Ovis aries: one gene and its partners. The protein of the gene in region 7 purifies or fractionates together with the protein of the main gene of each other region. This does not show direct contact. Links are inferred from orthologs where the notes say so. Each region holds a gene or a part of one and is shown on either strand. Other genes may lie near its edges.

The links.
Region 1: the proteins of CTNNB1 (region 7) and ZMIZ2 purify together in Homo sapiens (affinity purification with western blotting; 3 studies listed by BioGRID, with this or other methods). This does not show direct contact. The link is inferred for Ovis aries from reciprocal best matches to the Homo sapiens genes CTNNB1 and ZMIZ2.
Region 2: the proteins of CTNNB1 (region 7) and CDH10 purify together in Homo sapiens (affinity purification with mass spectrometry; 3 studies listed by BioGRID and IntAct, with this or other methods). This does not show direct contact. The link is inferred for Ovis aries from reciprocal best matches to the Homo sapiens genes CTNNB1 and CDH10.
Region 3: the proteins of CTNNB1 (region 7) and SIAH1 purify together in Homo sapiens (affinity purification with western blotting; 4 studies listed by BioGRID). This does not show direct contact. The link is inferred for Ovis aries from reciprocal best matches to the Homo sapiens genes CTNNB1 and SIAH1.
Region 4: the proteins of CTNNB1 (region 7) and CDH5 purify together in Homo sapiens (affinity purification with western blotting; 11 studies listed by BioGRID and IntAct, counting the BioPlex papers as one, with this or other methods). This does not show direct contact. The link is inferred for Ovis aries from reciprocal best matches to the Homo sapiens genes CTNNB1 and CDH5.
Region 5: the proteins of CTNNB1 (region 7) and CDH11 purify together in Homo sapiens (affinity purification with western blotting; 3 studies listed by BioGRID and IntAct, with this or other methods). This does not show direct contact. The link is inferred for Ovis aries from reciprocal best matches to the Homo sapiens genes CTNNB1 and CDH11.
Region 6: the proteins of CTNNB1 (region 7) and RUVBL2 purify together in Homo sapiens (affinity purification with mass spectrometry; 5 studies listed by BioGRID, with this or other methods). This does not show direct contact. The link is inferred for Ovis aries from reciprocal best matches to the Homo sapiens genes CTNNB1 and RUVBL2.

The regions. Positions count from the first base shown.
Region 1 is NC_056057.1:78,409,176-78,412,624, reverse strand, and holds part of ZMIZ2 (zinc finger MIZ domain-containing protein 2), read left to right. Parts: intron 1-350; coding exon 351-495; intron 496-572; coding exon 573-783; intron 784-1,440; coding exon 1,441-1,546; intron 1,547-1,756; coding exon 1,757-1,914; intron 1,915-2,803; coding exon 2,804-2,871; intron 2,872-3,135; coding exon 3,136-3,204; intron 3,205-3,449. UniProt on the Homo sapiens protein: Increases ligand-dependent transcriptional activity of AR and other nuclear hormone receptors.
Region 2 is NC_056069.1:48,986,110-48,990,343, forward strand, and holds the start of CDH10 (cadherin-10), read left to right. Parts: upstream 1-1,434; 5' UTR 1,435-1,779; intron 1,780-4,234. UniProt on the Homo sapiens protein: Cadherins are calcium-dependent cell adhesion proteins. They preferentially interact with themselves in a homophilic manner in connecting cells; cadherins may thus contribute to the sorting of heterogeneous cell types.
Region 3 is NC_056067.1:16,326,995-16,329,548, reverse strand, and holds the end of SIAH1 (E3 ubiquitin-protein ligase SIAH1), read left to right. Parts: intron 1-67; coding exon 68-918; 3' UTR 919-2,054; downstream 2,055-2,554. UniProt on the Homo sapiens protein: E3 ubiquitin-protein ligase that mediates ubiquitination and subsequent proteasomal degradation of target proteins.
Region 4 is NC_056067.1:33,719,338-33,722,837, reverse strand, and holds part of CDH5 (cadherin-5), read right to left. Parts: intron 2,902-3,500; coding exon 2,785-2,901; intron 1,918-2,784; coding exon 1,753-1,917; intron 949-1,752; coding exon 761-948; intron 1-760. UniProt on the Homo sapiens protein: Cadherins are calcium-dependent cell adhesion proteins. They preferentially interact with themselves in a homophilic manner in connecting cells; cadherins may thus contribute to the sorting of heterogeneous cell types.
Region 5 is NC_056067.1:32,319,393-32,322,892, forward strand, and holds part of CDH11 (cadherin-11), read right to left. Parts: coding exon 3,256-3,500; intron 234-3,255; coding exon 114-233; intron 1-113. UniProt on the Homo sapiens protein: Cadherins are calcium-dependent cell adhesion proteins. They preferentially interact with themselves in a homophilic manner in connecting cells; cadherins may thus contribute to the sorting of heterogeneous cell types.
Region 6 is NC_056067.1:55,312,493-55,315,480, forward strand, and holds the end of RUVBL2 (ruvB-like 2), read left to right. Parts: intron 1-1,203; coding exon 1,204-1,323; intron 1,324-1,699; coding exon 1,700-1,829; intron 1,830-2,158; coding exon 2,159-2,273; intron 2,274-2,371; coding exon 2,372-2,397; 3' UTR 2,398-2,488; downstream 2,489-2,988. UniProt on the Homo sapiens protein: Possesses single-stranded DNA-stimulated ATPase and ATP-dependent DNA helicase (5' to 3') activity; hexamerization is thought to be critical for ATP hydrolysis and adjacent subunits in the ring-like structure contribute to the ATPase activity.
Region 7 is NC_056072.1:13,853,880-13,857,379, reverse strand, and holds part of CTNNB1 (catenin beta-1), read right to left. Parts: intron 1,960-3,500; 5' UTR 1,912-1,959; coding exon 1,899-1,911; intron 1,460-1,898; coding exon 1,232-1,459; intron 1,040-1,231; coding exon 786-1,039; intron 655-785; coding exon 416-654; intron 327-415; coding exon 125-326; intron 1-124. UniProt on the Homo sapiens protein: Key downstream component of the canonical Wnt signaling pathway.

The DNA of each region.
Region 1 (3,449 bases), on a different chromosome or scaffold from region 7:
GGCAGGTGGCCTGTTGACACCCCTTCTGCCTCCTGCTCCCTCTGAAAGCACCAGAAGCACCACCTTTTTGGGTGGGGAGCGTGTTCTCTTAGAGTCATGATGCAGGGATCATTGGGCTAGGCGACTGAGGCAGGGAAGAATAGCAGGACACCAAGATCCTGTTTCCATTGGAGGTGAAGGCCGAGCCCAGAGTCCTAAGAGAGATGCTGTCCTAAGCCCCAGCCCCATGGAAGGGGAGGAGGGGCCACACTCCCCTCAACCATGGACCCCACGATGGGGGAAGGGGCAGGCCTGGCCTGGTGGCCATCAAGGGCCGGTGGCCTGCTCACACCTGCGTGGCCTACTTCCAGGCAGCGGCCCCTGTGACGAGCTGCGGCTGACCTTCCCCGTGAGGGACGGGGTTGTCCTGGAGCCCTTCCGCCTGCAGCACAATCTGGCGGTGAGCAACCATGCCTTCCAGCTCCGAGACTCCGTCTACAAGACCCTGATGCTGAGGTGAGCGGACGCCTGCCCCACGGCTCGCGGCCCCACCCGCCGCCCCCTGACTCTCAGCGTCCGTCCTCCCCATGCAGGCCTGACTTGGAACTGCAGTTCAAGTGCTACCACCACGAGGACCGGCAGATGAACACCAACTGGCCGGCCTCCGTGCAGGTCAGCGTCAATGCCACCCCGCTCACCATCGAGCGCGGTGACAACAAGACCTCCCACAAGCCTCTCTACCTGAAGCACGTGTGCCAGCCGGGCCGCAACACCATCCAGATCACTGTCACCGCCTGCTGCTGTGTGAGTGCCCATAGCAGGGCAAGATGGGGCCATCATCACTGAAGAAGATGGCACTGGCTCTCTTCCTTCCCATGATAGGCCTTTGAGAAAAGGGTCTCAGTTAAAAATGTACTGGCAGCTTTCTGGTTAGGTTCAGTAACTAGATTTGATGCTCATGTAAGCATCAAATGTTAATTATGTAAGAGAAGCAAACTAAGCTTGCCTCTTTCCTGGAAGAAGCTCACAAAGTCCCGAGTCCCAGCTGACCCTGAATCCTTGTTAAGGAGTCATCTGGATTCTGGCAGCTCCAGATCCAGCACTAGAAGAGGCACTTAGATGCACAGCTCTGATCAGCTTAGGTGGGAGGGAGCGGAGGCAAGGCAGCCCTAATGCGGCCCTGTGGGCCTGGGGTATCACGTGGACCCAGCATAGGATACCAGTGGATGCTGCAGGCAGGGTGCACTCAGGGGCCTCTCAAATAATTGTGTTTCAGCAGAGAGGCCATGGTTGAATACTGGTGCGGATACACATGAGCTTTATCGATAGGTGTGGGTGTGGGCTCCTGACTGCCCGGGGAGGCGCGGCAGTAGCCTGCCTGTGCATTAGCTGTGAGAGGAGAGTGGGCCAGCACGAGCCTCCTCAGGCCGCACCCCGCTGACCACATCCCTCCCGTTGCAGTCCCACCTCTTCGTGCTGCAGCTGGTGCATCGGCCATCCGTCCGCTCAGTGCTGCAGGGCCTCCTCAAGAAGCGCCTCCTGCCCGCCGAGCACTGCATCACCAAGAGTGAGTGGTCCTCGCGCTCCTCAGCTCTGCTGGGGCCATTGCCACACCTGGCACGTCCCCGTGTTAGACAAGGCTGTCTCCTCTGGGTTGGGGCTCCATGCAGAGGGTAGCGGTCAGTCCCAGAATGGTCCTCAGAGGTGCTGAGCTAGCAGTGGCCTAGTCCCGCTTGGCAGCCCTCGCTCACATCCTGCTTTCCCCTGTTGGTGTCAGTAAAGCGGAATTTCAGCAGCGGAACCATCCCTGGCACCCCGGGGCCCAACGGAGAGGATGGGGTGGAGCAGACGGCCATCAAGGTGGCCCTCAAGTGCCCCATCACCTTCCGCAGGATCCAGCTCCCTGCCCGGGGCCACGACTGTCGCCACATACAGGTGTGTGGTCACCACAGCGCTTTGCCAAAGCTTTTGCTGCCGTTTAACTGTTTTTGGTGGATGTGGCCTCTGAGCACCTCGGCTGGTGGGTGGCAGGGCAGGCCAGTCAGTGGACGGGCAGCCTGGCTCCCCTGCCCTCTTCCCTCAGGCTGGGCTTTTGTTTCTTCTAATGTTATCCTAAGTGTAACAGCCATTTTACTGGGTTCTTGGGACTTCATTGTATTTTACTTATTTGCTCTTTTACTTACTTACTTGGTTGCACTGCGTCTTGGTTGTGGCGTGCAGATCTTCAGTCTTTGTTGCGGCCATGTAGGATCTTTCAGTTACTATGGGCAGAATCTTTAGTTGTGGCATGTGAACTCTTAGTTGCAGCATGTGAGATAGAGTTCCCTGACCGGGAATCAAACCCAGGCCCCCTGCATTGGGAGCATGGACCCACCTGGGCCACCAGGGAAGTCCTGGGGCTCCGATTTCAAACAGCATCGGGGATGCAGGGCACAGTCTGCTCCCTGCCTTGCCCCCAGGAGCAGCACCTTAGGTTCTTTCTGCAGAAGCACTGTGGGTAGACAAGTACCCGCACCCTCCCCCTCACTCCCCACCTTTTGGTTACATAAGCAGTATACCCATCGCTGTACGTCATGTTTTTCTTCCATACCATGTCCTGGAGGTTGTTCCCTATCAGCACAGTTGGCCAGTTCTTGCTTTGGCCACATGTCATTCCCGTGAGGGCTCTGTAGGCATCCTATCTCTTACATGAGGATGGTGCCACGGTGAAAGCCTGGCACATGTGCCTTCTCAAACATGCAGTAAATAAGCCCTACGTCCCTGGAACTGCAGGGCCGGGTTACCCCAGCCCCAGTGTGAGTAACTGTCTCCCCTTTCTCTGCAGTGCTTTGACCTGGAGTCCTATTTACAGCTTAACTGTGAGCGAGGGACCTGGAGGTGCCCTGTGTGCAAGTGAGTGTGTCAGAGACGGTCCCCGTGGCTCTGGGGGTGGGTGGCATGTCCTCAGGGACTATTAACAGTCATTTCCTTCCATCAGCACTGAGAAGTGCCTGCCCCAGATGTGGGGCTCACAGTACAGGCCTGGAAGGTTGGTGCTGCTCGAGGCAGCGACCTCACACAGGGTCATTTCACATAGGGGTCAGAGATGTGATGGGGCCCGTGCCCTAGGTGAGGTCGGGCCAGCCTTCTGAGCTGTGTCCCCTTGGTTTCCTACAGCAAGACGGCGTTGCTGGAGGGCCTGGAGGTGGACCAGTACATGCTGGGCATCCTCATTTACATTCAGAAGTAAGTCTGCTTTCCTGCAGCCCCAGAGGGCAGCCCTGGGACAGGCGCGGAGATACCCCGTGCTGGCTCAGCATGGAGCAGGCTCAGCTCCAGGCCATGGACAGAATCCATGTCCACCTGCATGCCACAGGCACGTGGAGTGTGCTGGGCAGCCACAACCATTTGAGTGGAAGGTCGGCCTAGGAACAGTGCAGGGCCGGGAGAGGCTGCAGGGCAGCTGGTAACCAGCCCCACTGTCCCCACCC
Region 2 (4,234 bases), on a different chromosome or scaffold from region 7:
TTTCCCATTATGCTAGGGGGCCTGCGGTTTCCCAGATGACTCAATGGTAAAGAATCCTCCTACCAAAGTAGGAGATACAAGAAACACAGGTTCGATTCCTGGGTCAGGAAGATCCCCTGGATTAGAAAATGGCAATCCGCTTCAGAATTCTCGCCTGGAGAATTCCATGGACAGAGGAGCCTGGCGAACTGTACAGTCCAAGGAGTTGTAAAGAGTCCGATGTGGCTGAGCACCCACACACACACATGTAAGAGGCCTACAGATGCTAGAATAATAAAATAGGTACCCAGGCAGTAGTATGACATTTCAGAAACAGTACTAAACTGAAATTCTAAATACACATAAGTATATATGTTATATGTTTAATATGTCTATATAAATATAAAATATGTACTGTCATTCTAGTTTTTATTCTGTCACGAGTTAGCTCTGTGTCCTTAAGTAGATCATTTACTATTTCTGAGCAGTAGTATGTATTCTAAAAAGTTATCTTCATAATCCTCCCTCAGCTTTACAGTTATTTTTATATTATATTATTATTTTATAGTATGTTAATGTAATTTATTTATTTAAAAAGGAACCTACATGAAGCCAGAAAAATATAAAAACGCTCATTATTTTGTGGAGCTATACTGACATCCTTTGGTAAGGTTTTGGTTGATTCCAATTTAACGTCGAGATAAATAAATAGAGCGATAAATAGTTAGATGGTTAAGTAAACAGAACCACCCAAATGTATATCTGCCTTCCTCCCCCCGCTTTTGGGCATGACACTCAAGTTTCTGAGAAAAAAAAAAAAAAAAGTTAAAAAAAAAAAAAAAGAAAAACAAGAAAGGAAACGATGTCCAGCCCCAACTCTAAATATTTTAATAGCGTTAATTGCATATTTACATCATGAATAAAATATTATATCTATCAAATCAAAAGGCAAAGCAGGTAAGATTAAGCAGACAAGACTAGCTCACGAACATCCCCAAACGACGAGCAAGGTATGTTCTCCTATGACCATAAGCGATAAAAAAATAAAATATTTGGAGAACCAAGGAAAAGAAAGTTCACTGAAAGCAAAAATAAATATTAATTCAAACCGCAACCAAAATCACTCCGGTAACGATTCAGATCTGGTTGCAATTTGACTTGGCACTCGCTTCATGGATTTCGGCGATCTGGAGTTAAGGATGGTGCAGGGATATATATGTCAGATGAAGAAGAAGTATCTATTAAAAAAGAATTGCGAGAAGCAGTCCCGTTCTTGAGATTGCATTGCGGACACAGCCGGATTAGATCGGGCTGATTACCTTAGCCTTGAAACAGAGAGTCTTTCTGCCCTGCGGGGGAGGGGACGCCTTTCATCCGAAGCCCTCCTCTCGGATGCGCCCTCCCCTCGCATTCACTTGCAAATCGCTGTGTGCGAGCAAAAGCCAGCACTTCCCCAGTCTCTAACCTTCCCATGGCGAGTGCTGCAGCTCTATCAGCAGAACCTTTCTCTCCGAGTGAGGAAGGGTTTTTTTCCCCCTCCTTCCTTTTCTTTTCTTTTTTTCCCCCCCTTAATCAGAAGCACTGAATGAAAGCCAATCAGAGAGAACTCGCCCCCCGGTTTCTTCGGTTCCCTGCCGTCCAGAGTTAAAAGTGATGCTGAGAGAAAGCTTGAGTTAGATTGAAGTAGAATCAGTAATAGGAAATAGCCGAAAACAAACAAAAAGGGGATATAGTGACAATTTCTCCAGGGTTATTTTGGCTGGAACCAACTTCCGTTATCCAGAAGCTGATAAAAAAAAGGTAGGAAGACTTCATCTCTCTCTCTCTCTTTTTTTTCCTAACTCCCTTAAGGTCTCTTATTTTCTCTCCCTGGGGGAGAATGTTTGTTTTTAAGTTGTATTCGGCAGTTATTTTCAAATAATTATCTTTAACATGTTAAAAAATTACTAAGCATAAAACTATATATTGTATTCTAGAAACCACTGCTTTGAATAGCCGAAGAGGTAATGTGAAACTGGATAAATTACATATTTATGCTCAACAGTGGGTTATGTTGTTAGAGTTTGTGAATTCATTCACTCTGATCAAATGCTAATAATATATTATGGAGGGTAATTTGTTATGCTCATGCTTGTTCGTCTTAATGTTAAAAATCCCTTGAAGAGAAGATTGTTGCTTTGAACTCTATCATTGAACATTACTTTGCATTCCATATGAATGGATCCCCTCTGCACTTATTTATAGTCATAGTTCATTGTAGGTTCAATATAAGGAGAAATGACAGGCAGAAGACAGATTCCTTGAACCTGTCAATGGTCACTAAGCATCTACATAAATAAGAAAGATTGGCACTTATCAGAAATAGAATAGGCATAATTCCTAGATTCGCATTTTGTGTCTGAGTCAGAAGTATGAGAGAGGAAAGATGAAGAGGGGAGATGAAATGCATATAGTCAGCAGTTGCAGCATTTATTGTCTCTGCTGCAATAAAATCCATATTTTATGTGGTGTTAAATTAATGCAGCACATTGCAAGACTAAATGCATGTCCCCGACAAGTAACTATTGATAGCACTGTAAGTATGGGCAAAAGCAGTAGTCTGAAAGTGTTTTCCTGCCAATGCAATAAAAACCACCATCTCCTTATCATTAAAAAGAGGAGTCTACAGGTGCAAAGACAAACATCAATTTAAAATTGACCTCTCATCTTTTGCTTCCAAAAAAACAGATCTATTTCCTGTAATTGTGGTTCTTTATTCCAGTAAAAGCTTCTATTATCCGAAACTGCACATGTCTTATGCTCAGCTGTTCAGAGATGGATGTTTTCTTTTCTTTTTTTTCTTGTTGTTGTTGTTTTCTTGAAGGATCTCTATTAAAAATAGTCTGTCCCTCTGATGCTGACAACTGGTAAACCTCAATGTATATGTTAGTAGACTTTCTCCCTCCACAGCATCTTCCTCTGGGTCCTCCTTTAAAATGTAACTACAAGAGCTTCTCTGTGGTGAATAACACTTGGCAAGAGTGTGCTCATTTTTTAGGTCTGGTATGGTGAGGATTTTTAATTAGTAGAACTTTCATGAAAACATTATGTCACTGACAAGAGCTCTAGATTCATTTTTAGTTAAAGTGATGAAAATAGGAAGGGGGCTGTATCATAGAGAAAGAGGTAAATGACAAGTTAGATACCTAATCTTCTTGCCCCTCTCCCTACAGCATAGTTAAGGTGGCACGTTTGTATTCAATGTGTAATGCATAAGGAAATAGTGATTTATTGGGAGTGGGGTGGGCTGTGGAGCAAAGGCATTGGAGTGTGCTCTGATCTAAGCAGAGTGTGTTTGTGTCTTAGGAACATAACAAATACAGATCCATTCTGATCATGAAAACATAAAGAAGTGCTTCTTTAACTTGCTTTCACTTAAAAAAATTATGTGTTTTTAGAGTATGAGTGAATGTCTGCTTTCATTAAATCAGATACTTCTTTGGTTTCAAATACTTGCTGCTAACAAATTGACTTCCCTAGTGAATGCGTATGTCTTTTCTGACTCCAATCAAAGAATAGAATTCCATACACTTACATGCCTGAAAAGGGGGAGAAAAGAGAGAGAGAGAAATCCCAGGGACTTGGGAAAGGAGCACATAATCTGTATGGCATCCACATAGGCATGTATATGTGTGAAGTCAGTGGTCAAATTGCTTGATTCCTGATTAATACTTCAGGTGATAGACCTAGATGTTTATAAAACCTAGCTGTGTATTGATAAGAATGGTACTATACAGGTATCCAGTTTAGTATTATACTGTTATATTTCCACTTACACTAAGATTTTCTAAAGGAAAAAAAAGGATAGAAAATTGACTTTCTATCTAGAGAGATATACATTACTGGCACAATATTAAGAAAGTGTATTGGAAAGAGGCTTTTTATTTTTTTCTTGAAAAAAAGAGAGTGTTTGAGACTGAAAAGGTTAATTCCAGCTGTGTGAACTCTGTTCAGAGTCTAGAATCCATCTTTTGATCTTCATTTAATAACACATGTAAACAAATGACTGAGGCAAAGTATCTATTAACTGGGGGATATTGGACATATGAACTATTTCATATGTTTCTTAACCTACTTTGCAGCAAGTGATAAGCCAGTGCTCCTGGAATATGTCATTTTTATACCAAATCATTCCGCTAGGCTGCAGCACAGGAACAACCTTCGCCCTAATGATGCTGAATCAGCAGCATAGTGAACCATATTTTTAAGTGTTATT
Region 3 (2,554 bases), on a different chromosome or scaffold from region 7:
AACATGTTATAGTTGTAATTAATTTTCTCCTGCCTCCTTATACTTTTATTTGTGTTTTTTATTACAGAAATGAGCCGTCAGACTGCAACAGCATTACCTACCGGAACCTCAAAGTGTGCGCCGTCCCAGAGGGTGCCTGCCCTGACGGGCACAACTGCCTCCAACAATGACCTGGCGAGCCTCTTTGAGTGTCCGGTCTGCTTCGACTATGTGCTGCCACCTATTCTCCAGTGCCAGAGTGGCCATCTGGTTTGCAGCAACTGTCGCCCAAAGCTCACATGTTGTCCAACTTGCCGGGGCCCGTTGGGATCCATTCGCAACTTGGCTATGGAGAAAGTGGCCAATTCAGTACTTTTCCCTTGTAAATACGCCTCTTCTGGATGTGAAATAACTCTGCCACACACAGAAAAAGCAGACCACGAAGAGCTCTGTGAGTTTAGGCCTTATTCCTGTCCGTGCCCTGGTGCTTCCTGTAAATGGCAAGGCTCTCTGGATGCTGTCATGCCGCATCTGATGCATCAGCATAAGTCCATCACAACCCTGCAGGGAGAGGACATAGTTTTCCTTGCTACAGACATTAATCTTCCTGGTGCTGTTGACTGGGTGATGATGCAGTCCTGTTTTGGCTTTCACTTCATGTTGGTCTTGGAGAAACAGGAAAAATATGATGGTCACCAGCAATTCTTTGCAATTGTACAGCTGATAGGAACACGCAAGCAAGCTGAAAATTTTGCTTATCGACTTGAGCTAAATGGTCATAGGCGGCGATTGACTTGGGAAGCCACTCCTCGGTCTATTCATGAGGGAATTGCAACAGCCATTATGAATAGTGACTGCCTAGTCTTTGACACCAGCATTGCACAGCTCTTTGCAGAAAATGGCAATTTAGGCATCAATGTAACTATTTCCATGTGTTGAAATGGCAATCAGACATTTTCTGGCCAGTGTTTAAAACCATTGCATTTGATTTCACAGAGAATAAGGCACCTGTCTGCCTACCAACCAAAAACTTGTGGTAGGTGGAAGCTAGACACATGAAGGTAAATAAAAGGAAAGGCTGTTAAATACAGGAAACAGTTGCATGTAATAACACTAATATATTTAAAAATAAGTCAACAGTAAACCACTGAAAAATAAATATATATATATATACACCCAAGATGGGCATCTTTTGTATTAAGAAAGGAAGCATTGTAACATAATTCTGAATTTGTGTTTGTTGTAGATTGAGTGTACCGTTGAAAAATACTGGGTTCTTGTTTTTTTGTGTGCCTGTGCGTGTGTGTGTGCGCGTGTGAGTATGTTTGGATTTTTTTTTCCTTCAACTGACAAGCCATGTTGAGTGGTCTTGGACCACTGCTTTTCCCCTATGTGAGTCAATACATAGTGCTGCTGTGTGTGTATATTTTTTTTCTGTGTGTATTTGCTAATTTTTATTAATTATAGTTTTTCATTAAATAAATTTGACTTTCTTTTCTGTAATTCAGGTTTTTCCTCACTTTTTTTTTTGTACCTTTTAAAGTTAGTGTCTTTTTGATATGCATAATTGTTGATGGTAAAATTTATACATGTGTTCGATACATATTTTCTTTTCCCCCATTAATCAGTTCATTAGAAATATTTTAAATTCAACTGTTTTGTGAAGATACGAGTTTCAGAAAGGAACATCAGAAGAATTGTCAGAAACTAGTTAAAGCAGGAAAGATAACATCAGAAGAATTATCAAACTAGTTAAAGCAGCTCTAAAATGGTCTCCCTCTCTTCTCCAGTTGAGTCATACCTTCAGACTTATTCTTTGTAAGGTTAGGGAGTACTGATTTTTTTTTTTTAATACTGGGGAAAAAAAAAATCAGGCTCTCCGTTCCCCCCACATATCTTGGACAAATCACATATGTTTAAAATTTGTTCTTGTGTTTATTGGTTTTGCAAAAGAAGGCATCGTCTCACACAGTATTTGTAATTAAAAGCAAATCATTTGTTTAAAAAGCAGTTTGCAAAAAAATGTTTTTGGTCTTTTATAATTCTCATTAAAAGAATATCTGGCAAATTAAAAACTCTTACGTGTCTGCTTTAGCTCTTAAGTTTGAAGATAAGCAAAAGAATGGGTTATGGCCTCTGTTCGGCCTGCAGTCTTTTCTTCCTTTCTCAGCTTTCATTTTGATTCTCCTAACTCTATTAGGAGGCCAATTAGTTAAAATACTGATCACTCCCCCACCCCCAACCACCCCCCCCACACCCCTTTAACAACAAAAAAATGAGTTAGTGTTCTGCCGCCTAGTGGTTAGAGCCTAGCTTCCGCAGCCAGCTTCCAGGGACCTACATGCCTGTGCTGCCTTTACTCACTAATCAGCTGTGTGATGCTGCACCCCCGGTTACTGGTGTGTAAAATGGGGTTAATTGTGGTAGCTACCTTCAAGGGTTAGATGGGATGGATACAAGTTACCAAGGACAGTGCTCTGCATTAATAAGCACCCAGCAAATGTTAGATACTTGTATTATGCCTGTAACTAGCACCATATAGTTAACTGTTGCTAGTTACCCTGAAGCACCTAGA
Region 4 (3,500 bases), on a different chromosome or scaffold from region 7:
GAGGTCTGCTGGAGGAGTGGTCTGGCTCAGGTACACAGGTTCGAGTGTCCCCTCTGAGGAGGAGATCCCTGGCCTGGGCCCCCTAGTCCTCGGCGTGGCCATTCTGGAGGCAGTTTGTGCCCCCGGCAGACCTTGTCTCCTCTTCTAGATTCAGCTGGTTTGCCCTCTCTGCAGCAGCCACTGCCAGTGGGCACCCCATCCCCATGGTATTCACTGTGTCCTTACACACTGACAGCTTTTGGCTGCAAGCACCTGTACTCTACCAGGGCTGTCCTCGCCAGCGCCCAGGGCAGATCAGAAAGTGCCAGGAAGTGGGCCCCCAGGAGCCCTCAGGCAGCCCACAACTGCTGCGACTCAGAAGCATGTTCCGCATAGTTGCCTAGATGTCCCCAGTGGGACCGTTTCCCACTCACCCACAGTGATCACCTGCTCACTAAGGAGCCTGTCTTAACTCTCCTCCCTTTTACATCTCACTGCTCCTGGGGGCTTCCTGAGATCACCCCCCAAATGAGCTGTATACACCTAAGTCCTTGCCTCAAGGTCTGGTTCTGGGGTAGCCCAGCCCAAGGGACTGACCCTTCTTTCGTGGCTCCACGTCCCAGCTCCAGGGTCACAGGATCCACGAGCACGTGGCCTGCTCCACGCTGGCCCAAACGTGGACCTTTGGTGGCCTCTGACCCAGGAGCAGCCCCTGGCTGAGTCCTGAGCATGCCAGGGCCCCCAGTCCCCCATCTGATGCCACAGCTGCAGGCCTGCGAACCTTTATGGGCTTGATGATGCCCTCGTTGTGGGTGGGGTCCGTCTCGATGGTGAAGGTGTCCCTGTACTCGCCCTGCACGAAGCTGTACTTGGTCTTCCGGTTTTGGGGCTCATCTGGGTCCTCAACAAACAGAGAGCCCAGGGGGCTGCCCACGCGGATGTCTTCTGGCACAGAAAATGTGTACCTGGCTGATGCAGAAGGGGTGCCCCAAAGGGCATGGGGTTAATGAGGTAGACAAGGTAATTGTCGCATATACTATCCCAGTATGTTCTGATACAAGCAACAGGCACAATAAAGTAGCAGAAGCAGTAGTAGTAATTCCTCTGGAATTTTGGGTCTCAAGGCACAGAGGTTCCACTCATCTGTCCTTTCATCCCTTCATCCATCTGACAAGTAGTTATCAAGCACCCCCTGTATGTCAGGCACTTTGCTGGGGGATCTGTCAACTGCCAAGAGGAGAAGCCCTGCCTTTGAGGAGCTTTCACCATTCACAGTGAGGTCATTTCAGGGCACGCTGGCCTGTCCTTGCAGTGGCTGAGCCTCTGAGTGGCATCAGCCTTGGAGGTGCAGGTGATGAGCCTATCTGACCTCCTCCCCACCCAGCGCGTGTGAAGAGCTCCTGTTGGACATTTTCCTGTGGGGAGAGTCAGTCTGTGGGTGGGTCAGGGCCCAGCCCTGGCTCTGGCGCTCTGCTGAACCCTGGCTCCCCAGCTCGTGGGTTTTCCCAAGCTCATGGAAACTGGGTGAAACTGGTCCTGTCTGTTAGTGGGACTCTGGGCATGTGGGACACAACAGAGAGTATGATCTGCTGCTGGCCCAAGAGGGCGCCCTGGCAGGCCAGGTGTGCAGCCTTGGGAGTATGTGCAGAGACGGGGAGCGCCGGGAAGCCATCTCTGATGTAGGCTCACTCTGGGGTGGAGGGAGAGGTGGATGGATGCCAGGCTCCTCCCTGAGAGCACCGCCCCCACCAGGGCCCAGGGAGAGGGGCTCACACTGGGTGAAGATGGGGAAGTTGTCGTTGACGTCCTGCAGAGTGATGAACACAGTGGCTGTGCCTGACTCCCCCCGGCGGCCCTGGGCGTCTTCTGCTTCCACCACAACCTCGTACTTATCCTGCGTCTCTCGGTCCAGGTGTTTGTTCATGGTGACAATGAGTCCTGCAAAATGTGTCCTGTCAGGAACCATGCTACCTGAGGAACTTTTAAAGAATATGGATGCCCAGACGCTACCCAGAGAGCCGTGACTTCAGAGCTCCTGGGTGACGTCCCTGTGCAGCCAGGGCCAAGAGCCAGGGGACATCCACCACCCATCTCCACGCCCTGCACTGTCAGGCCAAAGCCACACAAACACTTTTGTCCACTGTGGGCCGAGAAAGAGCCTGAGGCCACATCTAGGCTCAGAGTGAGCAAAGTGCTGTGATGGGTTATGCCTCAGTGCAGCATAGGTTGTGTATTCGCCATTGTTCTGAATGGTGGCATGCCCCAGGCCTGACCACTTGGACTTTTGTCTTTCTCCAAAGACTCAGTCCTTACAGTTTTTTTAGGTCACATGTGATAGCTAATGACAACGAGCCACATGCTCTTTATACGTCATCTAATTCAGACTTCACAGCTCCTGTATGGGGTGCGTGCATATAACCTTCCCCATTTTCACCATGAGGACTCGCCAGTGCTCAGAGGTTGGTTGATTTGCCCAAGGTCTTTAGAAGTGGTGAGCAGCAGAGATGGGGTTGGAAACCAGATCTGTGTGGTTCCATAGCCAGAGCTGCTAACTAGCCTTCTCGTCTGCCTCTCGTGTCACTGCTTGGGTGGATTTTTGTCCCCTGGACTTGAGTTTACATCCTGGGCACCTGTCTGCCTCCTCCTGCCCTCACCAGCCCCCTTGTCTTGACGCGTGGTACCGACCGCCTCCACAGGACACTGCGAGTCAGTGTTTGGTGACATCTGTCAGACTGGGCTTCCCTCTGTGCCTACACCTCCACCCGCTCCAAGCCAGTGCTGCCCAGGGGGGTTAGTCACACGGACCAGGGCCACGGATGTCGAAACTGTCTTTTCCCTTTGTGAGCTGGTACACGACAGAAGCGTGGTCTGCCACTGTGGGGTCATCTGCATCCACTGCTGTGACCTGGATGACCGAGGTCCCTGCCGGGAGAGAATCCAGGGTTACTGCCTTGTGACCACCAGCCCCTCACCCCATTCCCAGATGAGGGCAGATGGGGCTCAGGCTGTCCCCTGAACCCCCTCTCCCGGGTCCTGTTTTCTGAGGAGCCTGCCTGGCGCTGAAGTGCTGACAGTGGCGGAGGCCCAGCCAGTCAAACATGTAGGGTGAAGAGAGCAGTGGTTTTCTTTTATGGGGGAAATGAGGGGAGGGGTGAGTGTCTGCAGTCATGGAGAGAAACAGAGGAAGAGCTGCTCTATTTTTGCTCCTGGAAGCATGAGAACAAGAGAATAGGAAGGGTCCCAAAAGACTGGGTGTCGCATGTCTTTCCCCTTGAACTCCAGGCTCCCCAGGCTTAACAAGAAGGTCTGGTCTTGAGCCCTAACCAGAGAGCCTGGACGAAGGGGTGGGGATGGGAGCTCTTTTCTTGCATCCCCTGGAGGCTGGGAGTAGAATTGAGGAAGAAATAGTCTCCTCTGGGGGCCTAGGGTCCAGGCTGGTGACATACCTGGGGATGAGGTGTGTCCCTCTCCACTGCTCCCCCCGCGACTCCTAAATAGACCCTAAAGGTAACCCCTTATCT
Region 5 (3,500 bases), on a different chromosome or scaffold from region 7:
GTTAGGCGGCCCATTTTATATTTTAGAAAACTGAGACTCAAAAAGGTTTCAGCCAGCAGGCCTGGACTCCTTATTCACAATGTGTCACAAATCACAATGCAATTCCATGGTACCTGTCTGTGCTTCTACTGAAAAGTAGGGTTGTCCTTCCAGGATGCTGTACACTAACTTGGCACTGTTTCCATAGGTGGGGTCATCTGCGTCTGAAGCTGTCACCTGGATCACTGACGTTCCTTAAAAGTGAAACATTCATTAGAGACAATCCCTCCGCTTTTCAAATTCTATTCTAGTTTGCAAATTTTGTCTTAAGATTAAAAACTAACGAGAGCCCCCATATTATTCAATATGCTTTGATTTTCCAGACTGAGATGCAAAAATAATTTCCCTTCCTCCTCCCTCCCTTTTTAATCCTAATAGCTTAAAAATGAACTTTCTATATTCATAGTGCATCCTGCTATGCTTAGTAGTTAAAATAATAATGTGAACATTATTGCAAAAACATTCTAAGGCCCATGCAACTGGAATGTTCAGTATATCAAATAATTAAATAAAAATCTTCCCAAAGAGTATAATAAAGGATAATTAATGATGAATTGCTTTTCATGAAAGGACAGAGTGCAGTCTTCCATCTGTAGCAGAGCAATAAATACATCATTTTATTGTTGCTTTGCATGTAATAAAATGGCTGCTAATACTACATTTTAATTAATTTATGGTCATAAATATTGTACAGAATGTTGTTCCCTACTGGCATGAAAATTGCATCTTCCCACCTCCAATGGGTCTGGTAGTCACACAACAGAAATCACCAGTAGACATCTGGTGAGATCTAAGGCCAGCAATTGCGAGCCGCAGTGGAAAGAAACCAGCGAATTGAAAGAAGAGGGGATTCTGTTTTTCAGAGGAAAAACCGTTGTTCCTTGATGGTTCAGAATGGGGCAGGGGAGATGGTCAAGGGAGAGGGCTGGTGATTATAGAATTCCTCTGTGCCAAGCACTGTCTGGGGCATGTTCCAAGTATTCTGCCCCTCTGCTAGGTGCTTTCTACTGGTTCATTGTACTTGTGAGTTACTGAGTATAACAGGTAGGAAGTTCTGCAGTCTGTTTTGCAAAGTGGGTCACTGTCAGAGTCAGGATACTGACCTCTACCCAGCAAACAACCAAGCCCAAGTTCTTTCCGTGACAGTTTCAACAGAGGAGCCAGGTTCTACACGAGTGGCAAGGCAGGCCACTTATACAGCCCCCTGATCTACAAGTTTGCTGGTGATTTTCACACAGTGTAAGAACAAATTTTACTTTTTAAAAAAATTCTGTAATTCATTTTTTCATACAAACAACTTTGGGGGGAGGATTCTTCCCACAAAACTAGGTACTATTCTAAATCATGGACATTTGTAATAGCATTAGTAAGCTCTATTCTCTACTTTCACAGTAGAGCTTGTCAAAGTATTATTTTTTATGCTTAATTTACTTCAAGAAATCCACTAAGTTCATTACAACTCTTTGTATTTTACATCTATGTTTATTTAACCCTCATCAGAGTTTACATTATCCTCATGTGATAGACGACAAAATGAAAACTGAGAAAGATGTAAGATGTTGTCTGGGTTGACCTGGTTGGTCAGAGGCACAGCCATGATTCCAATCCAGAACTGTCTGACAGCAGACAACTCTCATAGGTCACGATGCAAAGTCTGATATTAATCCTTAAGCACTAAGCTGCCCTAAGACATGGGGTCAATGAAAATTTCCCTGGAGCATCCTTTTTGATGACTGGCCTTTTCCCCCTGGCTCAGCTGCTGTTGTCCTCTATTTAATGATTTCTTTGATGTCTGCTGTTTCTCATTAAAAGTCCCCAGGTGACTACTGAGAAACTAAAGAATTGGGCAAGGCAAAGAGAAGATAGAATAGACCCAGGTGAGTTTTTATAAAGTATGAGAAGGGTTTCACGTTAGTTGGAGGAGAAGAGGGCTTTTTTTTTTTTTTTTTTTTTTTTTTTTGCACCACAAGCTCTATATGCAAAGTGGAAGGAGTAGAGTTTTTTTTAATCTTTTTTTATTCGGCTGCCCCCGGTCTTAGGTGCTTCATGAAGGATCTATCGTTGCAGTGTGCAGACTCTCTGGTTGTGGCTCATAGGTTTAGTTGCTCCAAGGCACATGGGATATGAATTCCCTGACCAGGGATTGAACCCACATCCTCTGCATTGCAGGGCAGATTCTTAACCACTGGACCACTAGGGAAGTCCCGAGGAGTAGAGATTTAGAGTTACTTCTGTGTCCTACTTTCTTGAGCAAATTGATTCTCAGTCTCTGTGCTTGGTTTTCTCATCTGTAAAATGGGCAGTTTGGCCCTGATGATCCTTAAGCTCATCAGAACTTTAAATCTCTGATTTCATAACTGTATTTACTCCCTGATCAGAACAGCCCTGGTCACTGTCTGAAAAGCAAACCCTTCTTAATATGAGGCATGCTTCTCAAAAGCAAGTACAACAACCTGCATTCTATAAAGCGAAACAAGAATTATTGCCAGGAGAATTGTCCACTCACAATGTTAGGTGTCTGTATGCATGATGAAAGACATAGCTGCTTATGAATTATTCTAACAGATGGTGACACAGTGTCATGGTGAGGTGTATATACTGGATCCACTTAATAGCTCAGATGACCTTGAATAAATTATAATTAACTTGTTTCTAGCTTTGGTTTCCCATTTGCAAAATATGTCAAATAGGACCTACCTCATTGCAAAGATGAGTCACTGCAAAGATTAAATGCAACAGGGCATGTAAATCATTAATGAGCACTGTGTTGACATGCTACAAACTCTGCCGCTATTACTTATTCAACACCAACATGCACTAGTGACCAGATGTATACTATTTATAATCCTACATGAGTAGAAACTTTTAGTCCCATTTTACAGAGGAGAAGCTCAGGCTAAGAGAACAGATAGAACTGATTCCAAGTCAAAAGGTTAACAAGCACCAGGGCCAGGATGGCCTGGGTTCCATCACATTTTTCCTATTCTTCTATGCCTCCTCATGTTTTGTAAGGTTACAGTTTAAAAACTCAGGGCAATTTAAAATATTTGAAACTTCAACTATAGACATGAAATGTTTTTTGTTGGTTATTTTGAACACAGAAGCTACAGCATAAATTCTATATCCCCACTTGGGAGAATGGGCACCAGCCCACCCACCTGCAGAGACACCAGGCCTGCAGGTGGAGCAGGTCCGTCCTCCCCCTCCCTTACGTACCCACGTTGGACCTCTCGGGCACGTTGGCATGATAGGTCTCATGTAAGAACTCAGGAGGGTTGTCATTAATGTCCTGGACCTTGACGATGAATTCCGACGGTGGCTCCAGGGGCCGGTTGGTGTCCCTGTCCACCGCCTGAGCCATCAGCGTGTACTGGGCTCTCTCCTCTCGGTCCAATGTCTTGGTGGCATGAATGTTCCCTGATTTGTCATCAATCACAAAAATGGTTCCGGCTCCTTCACCT
Region 6 (2,988 bases), on a different chromosome or scaffold from region 7:
CAAATGAGCGTGTTTGTAGCAGCTGCAGGTCAGGCCATGGGATCGGGGGCATCACCTGTGAGAGGCTGCAAACCCAGTCACTCCTCATTATCCTGCAGGTTCCATATTTGTGATTCTGCTTATTCGCTACAGATGATCTGTAGCTCCCAAATCGATATTTGCCACACTGGCGGTCACTCACGGATGTGTGCAGAGCAGGGAAAAATTGAATGGCCCACAGCAGACAGTCCAGGCGAGGGTCAAAGCAGGCAGTGCTCCGCCTCCTAGTTTGAGCTCACGGGCTGCAATCAGGCGTCCTTTTCTTTGTCTACTTGTTGCCACAGGCGTCACACTGTGTGCTGTTTGTTCCTGATGATTTTGTGGTTTAAAATGGCCCCTAGGCAACTTAGCGGGCAGTCAAGTGGTTGGGAGTCCACACTTCCAAAGCAAGGAGCAAGGGTTCGATCCCTGGTTGGGAAGCTAGGATTCCACATGTTGTGTGGAGCAGCCAAAAAATGAAACAAATTATAAAATGTCCGCTAGCTGTCTAATGTCTTTGAGCACAGCAGGGATGGACCGTATAGAGAAAACAGTTGTTAGATAGCATCCGTCAGGCACAAGTTCAGAGGCTGTGGGCATGAGTTCAGCATGAAAAGTCAATAATATATACTGAATCGGGTGTCTTTAAACAGAAACACCTGAAACCAAGCTATCTGGTGGCCAAAAATTGTGACAGAGGCTGCCAAGAGCCTAGCCATGTGTTACTGTTTCCTCCATGGGCGGTGGTTCAGTACTTGCTAATTGAGTGATCGCCCCCAGTTATAGATCACAGCTCCCACACATAACAGGAATCTGCTATTTCCTGGTACCCGCCACGTGCCTGACCTTGTGCTGGGCCAGGTGCAGTGAGGGTACAGGGTGGGCCCAGTCCCTCCCTTGTGGAGCTCTGGGTCCAGCAGAGGAGTGGGACCTTGATCCAGTAATCCCAGACCTAGATCTCTAGTTCAGACCAGCCTGGCTCTGGATGGGGAGCAACGCAGTCAGAGGGTGGCTACCACGTCAGGTGGTGACGCCAGCCCTAAGCTGAAGGCTCAGCGGTATTTGGCCCAGTGAGTGGGCTGTGGCGGAGAGGGCGGGTGGGGTGGGGTGTTCTAAGTGTAGAGAGGGGAGAGCCGGGTTCTAGGAGCGTCACCCTGATGGCCCTCCCTTCCTCCTCCTCTGCAGGATCCGGGGCACCAGCTACCAGAGCCCCCACGGCATCCCCATTGACCTGCTGGACCGTCTGCTCATCGTCTCCACCTCCCCCTACAGCGAGAAAGACACAAAGCAGATCCTTCGCATCCGGTGCGGGCAGGGGCCCTTGGCCTTCCCGGGCAGGACCAGGCTGCCGGCCTGAGGGGCTGGTGTCCATCCTGCTTGACACGTGGGGACCACTGAGGTCTGCGGGGGAGGTCTCTGGGCCTGCCAGAAGCAGGGCTGGGCGGGGCATCCTAGCAGTGGCCTCTGGTGGGGGGCGCGGGGCTTTTTGGACAAGGGAGGGGCTGTGCGGGTGCCTGGCGCTGGGGAAAGAGCCCTGAAAGGGGGAGGCTCCGGAGGCCCGAGTTTGAGGTCCAGCTCCTGCCTCGGTGGCCTTTCTCACTCTGTGTTCTGGGCTTCCGAGGATTCTGACTCCTCATGGCTCCGTCCCTGGCTGAACACCCCCGCCCCTCCCTGCCCGCAGGTGCGAGGAAGAAGATGTAGAGATGAGTGAGGACGCCTACACGGTTCTGACCCGCATCGGGCTGGAGACCTCGCTGCGCTATGCCATCCAGCTCATCACGGCTGCCAGCCTGGTGTGCCGGAAACGCAAGGTGAGCCGCTGAGTCCAGCCAGCGTCAGAGGAGTGAGTGGTCCACACGCTACTCTCCGGGCTTTCCCTGGGCAGTTGCATTTAGTCCCAGAACTTAAGTTTTCGAAGGTGGGAACTTCAGGCCCTTGGGTTTCTTTCTGTGGCTCCCAGCCTGACACATGGGAGGTGCTGGGTAAATATCTGTTGGCTGCAGTGGATGCCGTTAAGTCCGTTTTACAGGTGAAGAAACTGAGGGATGGAGCGGCGGGGCCCACAGCCAGGAGGTGGCCGTGGTGGGACATGACCTGGCTCCTGGGTGGGGCCCCCCTGAGGTCTTGTGTCCCCCGTCAGGGCACCGAGGTGCAGGTGGACGACATCAAGCGGGTCTACTCTCTCTTCCTGGACGAGTCGCGCTCCACGCAATACATGAAGGAATACCAAGACGCCTTCCTCTTCAATGAGCTCAGTGAGTGTCCCCCACCGTGCCTGCCCCGGAGAGGGAGGAGGGAGCCCTGGCCCTGCCTGCTGGGCCGTGCTGACCATGTGGCTTTCCTTCTCTCACAGAAGGTGAAACCATGGACACCTCCTGAGCTGATCACCCTTCCCCCCACCGCACCCCACCCCCCGTTTTCTACTAGAGTTCTGACACTGTGACTTTGTATAAAATGGTTCTGAAACTGGGCCCATTGTGTGTGTGTGTGTGTGTGTGTGCGCGCGCACAAATGGGTGCACACACCCAAGCCCCCAAAAAGACAACACTAGAGTGCAGCTTGAGAAGTCTTTATTGGGAAGGGAGGGGAGGAGCGTCTGCTGGCTTTGGGAGTTAGGGTGGGCATGGGAGGTTGAAGTGGGGCATCCTTAGAGGAAGAGGATGTCTGGGAGCGGGGGGTGGTCACAGGCCAAGGGTTGGGTTCTGGGACCCCCGCAGTCAGTGCTGCTGAGGCGGCAGGGCCCACAGTGACAGCTGAGGGCCACGGGGAAAGAGACCATTGGGTCCACGCCAGGTGGGCAGCCGGGGAGCCGAACGGAGGCGAAGCGCAGCTCGTGGTAGGTGCACACCCGCTGGGGCATGGGCGGCAGGATGACAGGCAGCACCCGCTTCTGGAGGGCGGGGAGCTTGAGTGTTTCCATGGGGCTGAGCTCTCCCCCGAGCTCCCCCACTGCACCCCACAGATCCCAGG
Region 7 (3,500 bases):
CCAACTTCTCTGAGATACATACGGAGTATAAGGCATACAATAAATTTGCAAAAATCTATAGAAGGACATGACACTGGGGGTCTCCAAGGCTCCATGACAACCACATTCAAAATAATTCTTTTACCTTGCTTTCCTGATTGCCGTAAGCTAAGATCTGAAGACAGTCTGTTGTAATAGCCAAGAATTTAACATTTGTTTTGTTGAGCAAGGCAACCATTTTCTGCAGCCCGCCAGCTAAACGCACTGCCATTTTAGCTCCTTCCTGATGCAGTAAAAGGTTGTGGAGAGTTGTAATAGCATAAAACAATACAGAATCCACTGGTGAACTGGGAAGAAGGAAAAAAGTCTCATCAGAAATGGTGTGACTGCACTCTTCTCCTCCTGAGCTTGGAGCATTCTGACCATGTTTTCTTACCCAAGCATCTTCACCAGGGCAGGAATGCCCCCGGATTTAAAGATGGCCAGCAAGCCCTCACGATGGTGGGAAAGATTGTGCAAGGTCCCAGCAGTACAGCGAGCTGTTTCCACGTCATTTGTGTTCTGCATGGTACGTACAATAGCAGACACCATCTGAGGAGAACGCATGATGGCGTGTCTGGAAGCTTCCTTTTTAGAAAGCTGATGGACCATAACTGCAGCCTTATTAACCACCACCTATAATATACAGGAATTAAGAAACATTAGTTTTCAATTTTCAAATACTGATGTAAGGTAGACATTTTAAGACTACTTCCTTGAGAGTTTCCTTCAAAGCAGATTAAAAAGTTGGCCATGTCTCTACTTACCTGGTCTTCGTCATTCAGCAGTTTTGTCAATTCAGGGATTGCACGTGTGGCAAGTTCTGCATCATCTTGGTAGTTAATTAAGTTTACAACGGCATGTTTCAGCATCTGTGATGGTTCAGCCAGACGCTGGACATTAGTGGGATGAGCAGCATCGAACTGTGTAGATGGGATCTGCATGCCCTCATCTAGCGTCTCAGGGAACATGGCAGCTCTCACCCTCTGAGCTCGAGTCATTGCATACTGTCCATCGATATCTGGAAAAGGTGAATTCGACAGTCAGATCTCCATGAGCTCAGCATCACCCCAACAGTCAAGCTGAGGCTGCAATCACTCCCTTTTCTTGACCACACTGTTTTACTTAAGCTGTTGTATGCTAACTTTTATAAGAGTAACTATGCAGTTCTCAAAACTGCACTCTAGCTTTGAGTAGGTAATAATATTCTTACCAGCTACTTGTTCTTGAGTGAAGGACTGAGAAAACCCCTGTTCCCACTCATACAGGACTTGGGTGGTATCCACATCCTCTTCCTCAGGATTGCCTTTACCGCTCAGAGAAGGCGCTGTGGTAGTGGCACCAGAATGGATTCCAGAGTCCAGGTAAGACTGCTGCTGCCAGTGACTGACAGCTGCTTTTCTGTCTGGCTCCATGGCCATGTCCAGCTCCATCAAATCAGCTATTAAAAAAAAAAAAAAAACCATCAATATTACTACCAGGAAAATGTTATCTTAATTTGAAAATAAAAATCTGTGATATTACCCACTGAAATCTTCAGAAATAAAGTCTGAAAGACAGCGAAGGATAACAGAATGATGGCCAGGATCAGCTCAGGGATGAAAAATCTATACTCTTAGGAGACCACCTAACAGTTACTCACTGAATCAGTGAAGAATGGTACTGCATCCAGGCTCCAGAAGCAGTCATCCAGACTAGATTCCTGCTGGTGGCTTGTTTGCTATTTCATCAAGCCATTAGGAGAAGTGGGCAGAAAATGGAGCAAAAGGTAGCCTGACAAGTAAGCAGGGAGAGAGGAAAGCAGGGGAATCTGAGCCAGACTGGGTTAATGGCAACGAAGCAGAGCCTCAATTTCAGTAACTAAAGTCTACAATACAAACCTTGGGTAGCCATTGTCCACGCAAGATTTTCAAAAAGGTAGTATGGTGTACTTCAGCGACCCTAAAAGAGTTAATCAAAGTCATTAGTATTTAAAATTTTTGATTTTAATACTTATAAGTCACTAGGATAGTCTGTCAAACATCACGGACTACATCCACAAAAAGCCCCAAATCCTCTTTTACCATGTGATACAGTGAAACACAGACCTTATGATCTCCTCTAAATACTTCAACCACAGCTCTATCACTGCCAGACTTTTAAGTTTTCACTTAAACTCTAATCAGCACCTCTTTGTATAAAGCCAGGGGAAAAAGGCTATTCAAAATCAACCCTTCTTTGGGTTTCAAAAGTCCTCTCCTTTCCCTTTTTAACTTCTTTCACTAAAAAAATCATAGGTCTTCTTTTGACAACAAACATCCAATGGGATTTTTAAAACGCCAAATTTCACTGAACAAGTCAACTGTTAAAACTGTCTTCTGATATTACAATGCCATCTAAAATATCATCATAAAGCAGGTATGGTGACTGGATCAGAACAGATTTCAGATGGTTTACTAAGAAGTAACATTACTTTTCCAATTAGTCTGTAACGCAAAATTAGAAGCACCATTTTTAAAACTTTCCTAAGTTCAAATTTATAGCAATGATTTATTATAAATACAAGTATTACTGTCTGGAATACTTTAATCAATATAAAAATCATTCACATATATATTAAAAATCTTAGCATCTAATTTTATGTCTCCATTTTGGCTTTTTTGTGTAATATTCAGGAAAATGCTGAATTATGCAGCTATTTGCAAATGACCAGTTTAAGAGCTCAGGGTCTCCAGATATTCCTAACAAAATTTCCTTCATTACAAAGTCTGTCCCTTAACAAGTTCACTTTGTACTACAAATTAAATATTAGATGTAAATTACCAATGTGGACTAGATATTTAAACGTGAAGTGTGTTTTTCATAAAACAATGTACAAAGAAGTTTAAATGTGTTTAATGCAGTTGGAAACTGTACTTTAAAGTCCTATTTTCTGTCCTATGTAAAGAAGTATGTGTTGATTATCCTGGAATTGCTCTTCCAAAACTGGATTTTTATAGCCACAAAGATCACTTGACACCTAAAGGTGACAAGAGCTGTGGATACAACTGTTTTATCATCCACAGTAGAAACAATTGACAGTTTACTTAGAAGGCAAAATGAAGGTCAGGATGTAACAAATGATTCCTGTCAATAAGAAACCTATATTTTAAAATCAAGTATTAAGCAGGATTATGTGTTCCATGTTTCCATTTAGTAGGATAGGACTGGGGTGTAGAAACTTGCATTTTTAATTAACACTCTAGTATGCAGAAAGCAATCTGTAAACCACATGGTAAGAAATATAATGACGGAAGAAACCTAGGTTCTTTGTCCACTTATGGCTGTATTTTAGCTCCTTATCTTTTGCCTATCTTTGAGACTGGTTATTTAACCCTTTCTTCCCCACCCCTTGGAAAAAATGGGTTCCCCATACCCCGTTCCAGCTAGGGAAGGGGACTTATATGTTCCACACTGAGCTCCTCCTCTGGCCAATGCCACAGGGCTCAGAAACCAACTACTCA